Linked DNA regions of Caenorhabditis elegans. The protein of the gene in region 2 purifies or fractionates together with the protein of the main gene of each other region. This does not show direct contact. Each region holds a gene or a part of one and is shown on either strand. Other genes may lie near its edges.

What was found.
Region 1: the proteins of F10E7.5 (region 2) and Y54E10A.10 fractionate together in Caenorhabditis elegans (co-fractionation; one large-scale study listed by BioGRID). This does not show direct contact.

The regions. Positions count from the first base shown.
Region 1 is NC_003279.8:3,174,670-3,178,424, forward strand, and holds the start of Y54E10A.10 (Ribosome production factor 2 homolog), read right to left. Parts: upstream 1,651-3,755; 5' UTR 1,642-1,650; coding exon 1,573-1,641; intron 1,501-1,572; coding exon 1,385-1,500; intron 582-1,384; coding exon 383-581; intron 1-382. Other genes in the region: Y54E10A.11 (E3 ubiquitin-protein ligase listerin), read right to left, coding at 1,843-1,905, 3,534-3,755.
Region 2 is NC_003280.10:7,109,868-7,113,524, reverse strand, and holds F10E7.5 (Ribosome assembly factor mrt4), read right to left. Parts: upstream 1,545-3,657; 5' UTR 1,534-1,544; coding exon 1,506-1,533; intron 1,458-1,505; coding exon 1,399-1,457; intron 1,352-1,398; coding exon 1,274-1,351; intron 1,225-1,273; coding exon 1,046-1,224; intron 999-1,045; coding exon 680-998; 3' UTR 543-679; downstream 1-542. Other genes in the region: F10E7.6 (uncharacterized protein), read right to left, coding at 1-286, 334-441; F10E7.9 (Amino acid permease/ SLC12A domain-containing protein), read left to right, coding at 3,515-3,624.

The sequences.
Region 1 (3,755 bases), on a different chromosome or scaffold from region 2:
TTTTGGAAAAGTGAAGTTTAGAAGCTAAAATACGATTTTTTTTTGGTTTTTTTTGTCCTAGCATAGAGCCAATCTGTGCTAAAATGGACGTATTTGGTAGTAAAAAACTTCGCAAAATGCAAATTTAGAAGAAAAATTGCCTATTTCAGTTAAAATCCAATTTTGGTCACTTTTTCGTGTCGCAGCGGTCTGAAGTTTACTTTTTTTTTTCGAATTAACATCTTTTATTGCACTTTTTTTCGTAAAAAAAAATGCAATAAAGGATGATAATTCGAAAAAAAAAGCCAATTTCGGACCACTGCGACACAAAAAAGTGGCCAAAATTAGAGATTTTAGCTAAAAATAGGCTAAATTTCGACATCTTCCTTCAAAAAAATCCAACCTCAAAGTTGGATGAGGATTTGTAGGAAGTGATTCTGAGCTCAGCCATATCGAGAAGCTGTCCATCGTAAGTTCTGCCAAAAGTCAGGCAATTCGGCTTCTTCTTCGAATTTGAACCCAGCACAAACAATGAAGTATCGAATTTCGAGCCAGCACGGACGATTGGGGTCTCGTCCTCGAACAAATGGTACGGATTGTGCCTGAAAATTGAATTTTTTTTTTTGGGATGAACGGCCTTTTATCATTTTTAATTGAAAATGTGTAGAAAATCTCTAGATTTATCTGAAAATAACGTAAATTTCAGCTGAAAATGCTCAAAAATTACCTTTATTCGGCAGTTTTTGCCACTTTGAGCTGAATTCAGCTGAAATGAATGATATTTTCAGACATCTACAAATTTTTAATTAAAAATGTTAGATTCTTGTGTAGAATCATTCTGTGCGTACAAATCTGCTGATTTCAGTGCAAGTTTTTGAATTAAAAATGTATTTATTCTGTCGAAAAGTGTCTTTTTGAGGTCTTTTCAGTAAAAATCAATATTATTTTCAGATTTTTCAACTCAAAACGTGGGATTTTCAGACTGAAATTAACAGATTTGTACGAAAATCGAAGCCGCACAGTATAATTCCACACAATCGGTGAGAATCTCTAGATTTATCTGAAAATAACGTTAGTTTCAGCTGAAAATGCTCAAAAAATTGCCGAATAGAGGTAATTTTTGAGCATTTTCAGCTGAAATTAACGTTTTTTTCAGATAAATCTAGAGATTTTCAACTAATTTTCAATGAAAATGTTGGATAATTGTAGAGATCCTTGTGCGGCAATTATTTTCGTTCAAATTTGTTAAATTCAGTCTGAAAATGCAATTTTTGAATCGAAAAATCTGAAAATAATATTAATTTTTGTTGAAAAAACCTCAAAAAGGCATTTTTCAACAAAATGAATTCATTTTTGACTCTAAAACTTGAATTTTCACACTGAAATCAGCCGATTCAAGCCCTACTTGTCCATTTTAGTGGTAAGCGGCTTCTTCATGTCGAACAAATCCATCATTGCGTGGCTGATTATCTCGTTTGTCTTGGCTCCACGGCAAAATAGGGCTTTCTTGTCATTTTCGACCTGGAAATTGGTTATTTAATGCTTTTTTAGGCGAAAAATCGCGAAAATCGCAAAATTTCGATAAAAACCAACAGTTTTCGACGCCCGATTGACCAAAACTCTCTTTCCCTTCTTTGTCTTAATTTTTTCGACTCGAACCATGCTGAAAACCTGAAAAACCGCGGAATATACCTTAAAAATGCAAAAAATAGGCACAGAGATAGCAAATTTCCCGAGAAAAACGGGATTTTTTTCGAAAAATAGAGAAAAATCAATAAAATATCTATCCGTAGTTGACACCGAATGATAAACAGAAATAAATTCTTTAAAAAATAAATATTATCACAAGAAAAAAGAGGAAATTTAAGTGAAATTATTCCGGCAAAGTGGGCAAGTCGATTGATTGCTTGATTCGAACCATTTGTACTGAAAAAAAAGAAAATTGGAGAAAGTTAGGCCACGGCCACCACGGCCCCACGAAAATGGAATCTGCGTAACGGAGATCTGCGACAATTTTGCTAACATTTCGGATTGAATTGGCAAAAAATTGTAAATTTTCGATATTTTCCAGGAAAAGCAGAACATTTTTAAATTTTTTATAAGAGATAATCGAACATTTACGTTTTTTTTTTTACTTTAGAGAAAATCGAAATTTTCCGATTTTCTGTTTGAAAAAAAATTGAAAAATCCACATTTTCTATGAAAAAATCAAACATTTTCAATTTTTTTCAATTTTTCCCTGAAAAAAATAATTTTAATTGTTCAGAATTTTTTATAATCGAAATTTTCAAATTTGTGGAAATTTTTATTCAAAATTATCAGATTTTTACCTAAAAACTCCTATTTTTCTTCTTTTTTTCGATGTTTCCCGAAAAGAAAAAACGAAAATTTTCGATTTTCTCTGAAAAAATATGCAATTTTTCCATTTTATCGATTTTTGCAGGAAAAAAATTCAGAAAATCGTAAAATTTCGATTTCCAATTTTCTCAAAATTTTTTTCTGAGAAAATCGAAAAACGTTTCGCTTTTCTCTAAAAAAGTCGGTATTATCAATTTTTTTTTTGGAAAAAATTTCATCTTTTGAATTTTTTTTTTTTCAGATTTTAACTAGAAAATTCCAAAATTTTTTTTTCGATTTTTCCAGAAAAAGAAATCGGAAATAAAAAAATCATAATTTTCTGATTTTCTCTAGAAAAAATTGAAAATAATCAATTTTTCTGGAAAAAATCAAAATTTCGGAATTTTTTTCTTCAAATTATCAGATTTTCATCAGATTTCCGCAAGAAAACTCCAAATTTTCAGTGTTTTTCGTTTTCGTTTTTTGCATTTTTTAAGGGAAAAATCGCAAATTTTTCAAAAATTTCGAGTTTTCACAGAAAAAATCAGAAATTTACAATTTTTCGACTTAAAACAAAATTGAAAATTTTCGATTTTCTCTGGAAAAAATTCAAAAATCGTAAATTTTTAATTTAAAAAATCGAAATGTTTTCAGGAAAAATTGAATAGCTGCGTTTTTTTCACTGAAAAAAATCGGAAATGAAATTTTTTTTCAAAATTATCAGATTTTCATCAGAAAACTCTAAAATTTCAGCTTTTTTTTCGATTTTTCCCGAAAAAAATCGAGAAAATCGATAATTTGTTATTTTTGATTTAAAAAATCGAAACATTCCGATTTTTCAAAAAAAATTTTAAAATGTTCTCTTTTCTTTGGAAAAATTTTTGAAAATCGAAATTTTCAGATTTTCTCTGAAAAAAATCGGAAAATTTACAATTTTTTGGAATTACTCTAAAAACATTTTTTAAAACTGAAAAAAAAGTCGAAAATTCTGAAATTTTTCGATTATCTCTAATAAATCGAAAATTTCCGATTTTTTCTGAAAAAAGTCGAAAATTCTGAAATTTTTTAAATTTTCTCTAAATTTTTTTTCCTCAAAATTATCAGATTTCCGCCAGAAAACTCCAAATTTTCAGAGTTTTTTTAAAAAATATTTTTGCAGATCTGCAGATCTCCTTCTCGCGCATTTCCTCTTTCCATAGGGCTTCCTCATAACCTACCAAACAATTCGAATGGAATTTATTCTTGCACTGTTTGCACTTAATTTTCGGCAACTGATGTGTCTGCTGATGTACAGTCATCATACAAATCGTACAATCCTCAACACCCTCCACACCCTTATCAACATTCCGCTTCCACATCTCAATTCCCTCTAAAATTGCTCCATTTTGATGAAAAAGGTAGGCATTCAACTGTAAAAGCCATTTCTTCGCTCGATCCGT
Region 2 (3,657 bases):
CCTTAACATCCACATACTCCAATTGTGCTCGTAGAAGCGCTGTATCCATTCCCTTCTCTTGAGCTTGCTTAATTTGTTCTCGAAGCATTTTTCTCTCCAAATTGGAGGTCAAAATGTGTGGTGGAGCGCTCCATATTTCGTCCAAATCTGATGGTTCTCTGAGCCAACCGAAATAGATTACAATTGCTATAAGACTTCCGATAGCTGATAGCACTTTTTTGTTGGCATACGCGTCTGATGAGTAGTAATCTGGCTTGAATTGTGGCATTCCTCGAGATCCACGACCCTGAAAGACATCTACTAAAATAATTATTTATGCTTCGAGGTAATTACTTGAAATGCGGCACTTTGTGTAAACTTCGGTTCAGGTGCGTTTCTCTTGGTTGCCAATCCTCTGGCTTGAGCTAATATTGAGGAACGAGATAACAAAACCCTCCACATGTTCCTGAACAATCAGCTTTCTCGTTGGTTTATAATCATCATTGGATATTTAATAAGTTTGGGATTTAACCTCCTTCTATATTTATCAATATTAATACTCTGAAACAAGTAACAATTTATTGGATAAACAAAAAAACAAGATGATAAACGACAATTTTCGGATGGAGTGGGTGTTTTCAAATCAAGGAGAATCAGAATCAAATCAACAAATTAACAATAAAAGGATGATTAGCAGAAGTTAAGCATCAAGCTCTTTGAAGCCGTCTTTCTTGTTCCAGTGAGCTTTGAAGATAAGACGGAATTGAGACATCTTCACTTCGAAGTGCTTCAAGATTTTAGCCTGCTCCACAGTCAGCGGTTCGCCTTCTTTGCACACCTCAAACTGTTGGTAGAGGGTGATAACTCCTTTGTCAAGTTTCGTTGGGAGACCAAGTTTTCGCAGTTGTGGCTCCATAGAGAAGGCAAATTGTGAAATTGGTCCTTCTGGTAGAACAACTGTCTCTGTGGCAACATCTCCTACACGAGCGTAATCTTCTTCTGAAGCTTCGGAGAATTCACTGAAGATAAAATGCTATTAGAGAAGCAATGGTTACTCAAAACTTACGCCTCAACTTCCTTTTTGGACATGTTGGTGAACATGAGACCGCATTGACCCTTCAGAATTGCACTGGCTTTGTGAAGCTGATTTGCGTACTCATCAGACTTCTGTTTTCCAAGAGCGATAGAAATGACATTGTTCTTTCCGAAGAAAAATCTTGAATTCTCCTTGTACTTTTGTCTGATCTGTAATTCAAAAGTAATCAAATTTTAATTCAATCTGATTTTAACTAACGGCAATGAATCGTGTGCTTCTCATGTTAGCAATCGTGAAAATGAAAAGGTTTTTGTACTGATCGACACTTGCACGGACCTGGAAAAAAATAATTATTTAGTCAGCACTTCACTCTTAAATTTTACCTCATTAACCAAATTGTTCTTTGTGTCCTTAGTCTTCTTCTTGACTTTTGTGAGTGACACTGAAATATAAAAAGTTTGCCTATAATTTAATTTTACAACAAAATTACCATTTTTATCTCTGCGGGAACGAGCCATTGTGTAGAGTACTGCTGAAAATTACAATTTAATTGCAATTTAAACTATAAAAAGCTGAAAAGTAGCAGTAACAACATAGGAAAAGTTGAAGAAATGAAGAAACAAGAAAAAAAAACAGAGAAAATGATTGTGTGCAACTGCGCGTAGTGGTGTTTGCGTACCTTTGCACACCGTAACCAAAACTAATATTCAAGTTCATTTAAAGAAGTCTCAATAGCGGAGAAGATACAAAAATTGGTTGACATTGTCAGATGCTATGATTTCTTTAAAATAGGTTTAATGAGAATGTAGTAGCGGTAACCTTAAAATAAGTTTCATCTTTTTATGGTTTCAAACGAAAAAATATCAGAAGGGGATATGTAGAATTATAGATCCAACACGAAACAACACGAAACAAAACTTTCCGAGTTCCCTATGTGAAATAATACATGCTTTCTGTATCAGTTCTTTGAGATGGAATATCCACGTTGAAGTTTCAGACAGTTTAGACTGAAAATCTAGATCAGTTTCAAGTTTCAGAAAAAAAATTGGAAGATGGTAGGTCCCTTCTATATCTGAATATTCCCATAAGATTCATCTGCATCCCAATTAGCCCAATCAAGTATCGTCAGATGAGAAGCTTCTTCTTCTCTTACTTCATCTCCTTTTCTCGTTTCCCTCACTTCTCTCAATTCACGTCGTCGCGCATACATGCTCTTCGAGCAAGAGCCATGAGCTCTCCAAATCAATAATGCCGTCTCCTCTCCATGTCGCTTTTAAATTCCACTTCTCTTTTTTTCTCTTCTTTTTCATTTCGAAATTGAAACCGAATTTCAGAGGAAATGTCGAATAAAAGATTGAGGAGGATGTAGAGACGCAGAGTCATTTTCTCGTTTTGTTGTGAGCACTGCATTTTTCTTTCTTTTTTTTTTTGGTTCATCCATGCATTCTCTCTATTTTCCAGACTCTTAAATTTGCGTTTGAACGATGAAAAACAACAGGTTACCATAAATTCATTCGATTGCCAAAACTCAATTGTTAGATAAATTCGACTAGACATAGTGCTCCATTTGAATTAAAGCGTATCATCTTTAATACATAAAATCTCAAAATGTAATTTATTCAGTTTCTTCAGTTTCCGGAAATTCCCAATTCCATATCTCAATCATCATGACTCGAATAAAAGATGGAGCACGCTTCATTGAATATTTGAAATTTTTGAAACAAAATCTTGAATTCTAAATTTTCGTTATTTAGCAGAGCTGTTTGCAAATAGTTGCAGTTGAACAAAACTACGGTTTCGTGTCTTGGCACGTGGAACTTTCCAGCTACAGTACCCGCGCGTACTCCGCTGTTCTACCTCGGATACCTCTAGTTTTAAAATATTTTTGTTGCAAATATCGTTAAAGATTCACTATTGGAACTAATTCAAATATGAAAAAGGATAATGCAATGTGAAAGATTGAAGGACTATCCTACTTGCGGGTACGGTAGCTAAAAAGTTGCACTCGTGCCAGGACCCGAAACCATGAAAACTTGAAGTTTTCCGGAAACAAGTAATTAGGTTTTTAGAAAATCAATGAATGACCAGTTCCTAGTAGGATTCTACACAAGATTGATTTGAAAGATATAAACGAAAACCACAAAACTATTCCGTTTAGAAAAAGAACACAGTATTTAGTAATTTAAATATGTATAGTGGTTTAATGGATGTTCATCAACGGTGAGCGTTATATGTTAAATTGAAAATGATTCTGTAAAATTTCTTGAAATTCAATTCTCAATAATAATAATAATAATAATGTATTTTCATAGTTCAGGCTCAAAAAAGATAGATCATATGCAACCAAAATAGTCTTACGAAAAATCGTATCAAATTCTAAAATGTCTAACTTGGTTCTATTTATTGACTTTTACTGATAAATCCTTCAGAACATAATTTCCAAACATTTTCAGGCAACCATCATCGCCGTCTCATTTGGGTTCAGATCCATCTTCCAGAATGAGTGAGACGGGTCCGTCGTCATCACATTCTGTGGTTGTTGAACCACCTGATTCCATCTTTTCGCAAGGAGAAACTGCCGATTCGTCGCAATTACCATGGTGGCAAAGGTACAAGATCATGAGAATTTAGATTGTAACACC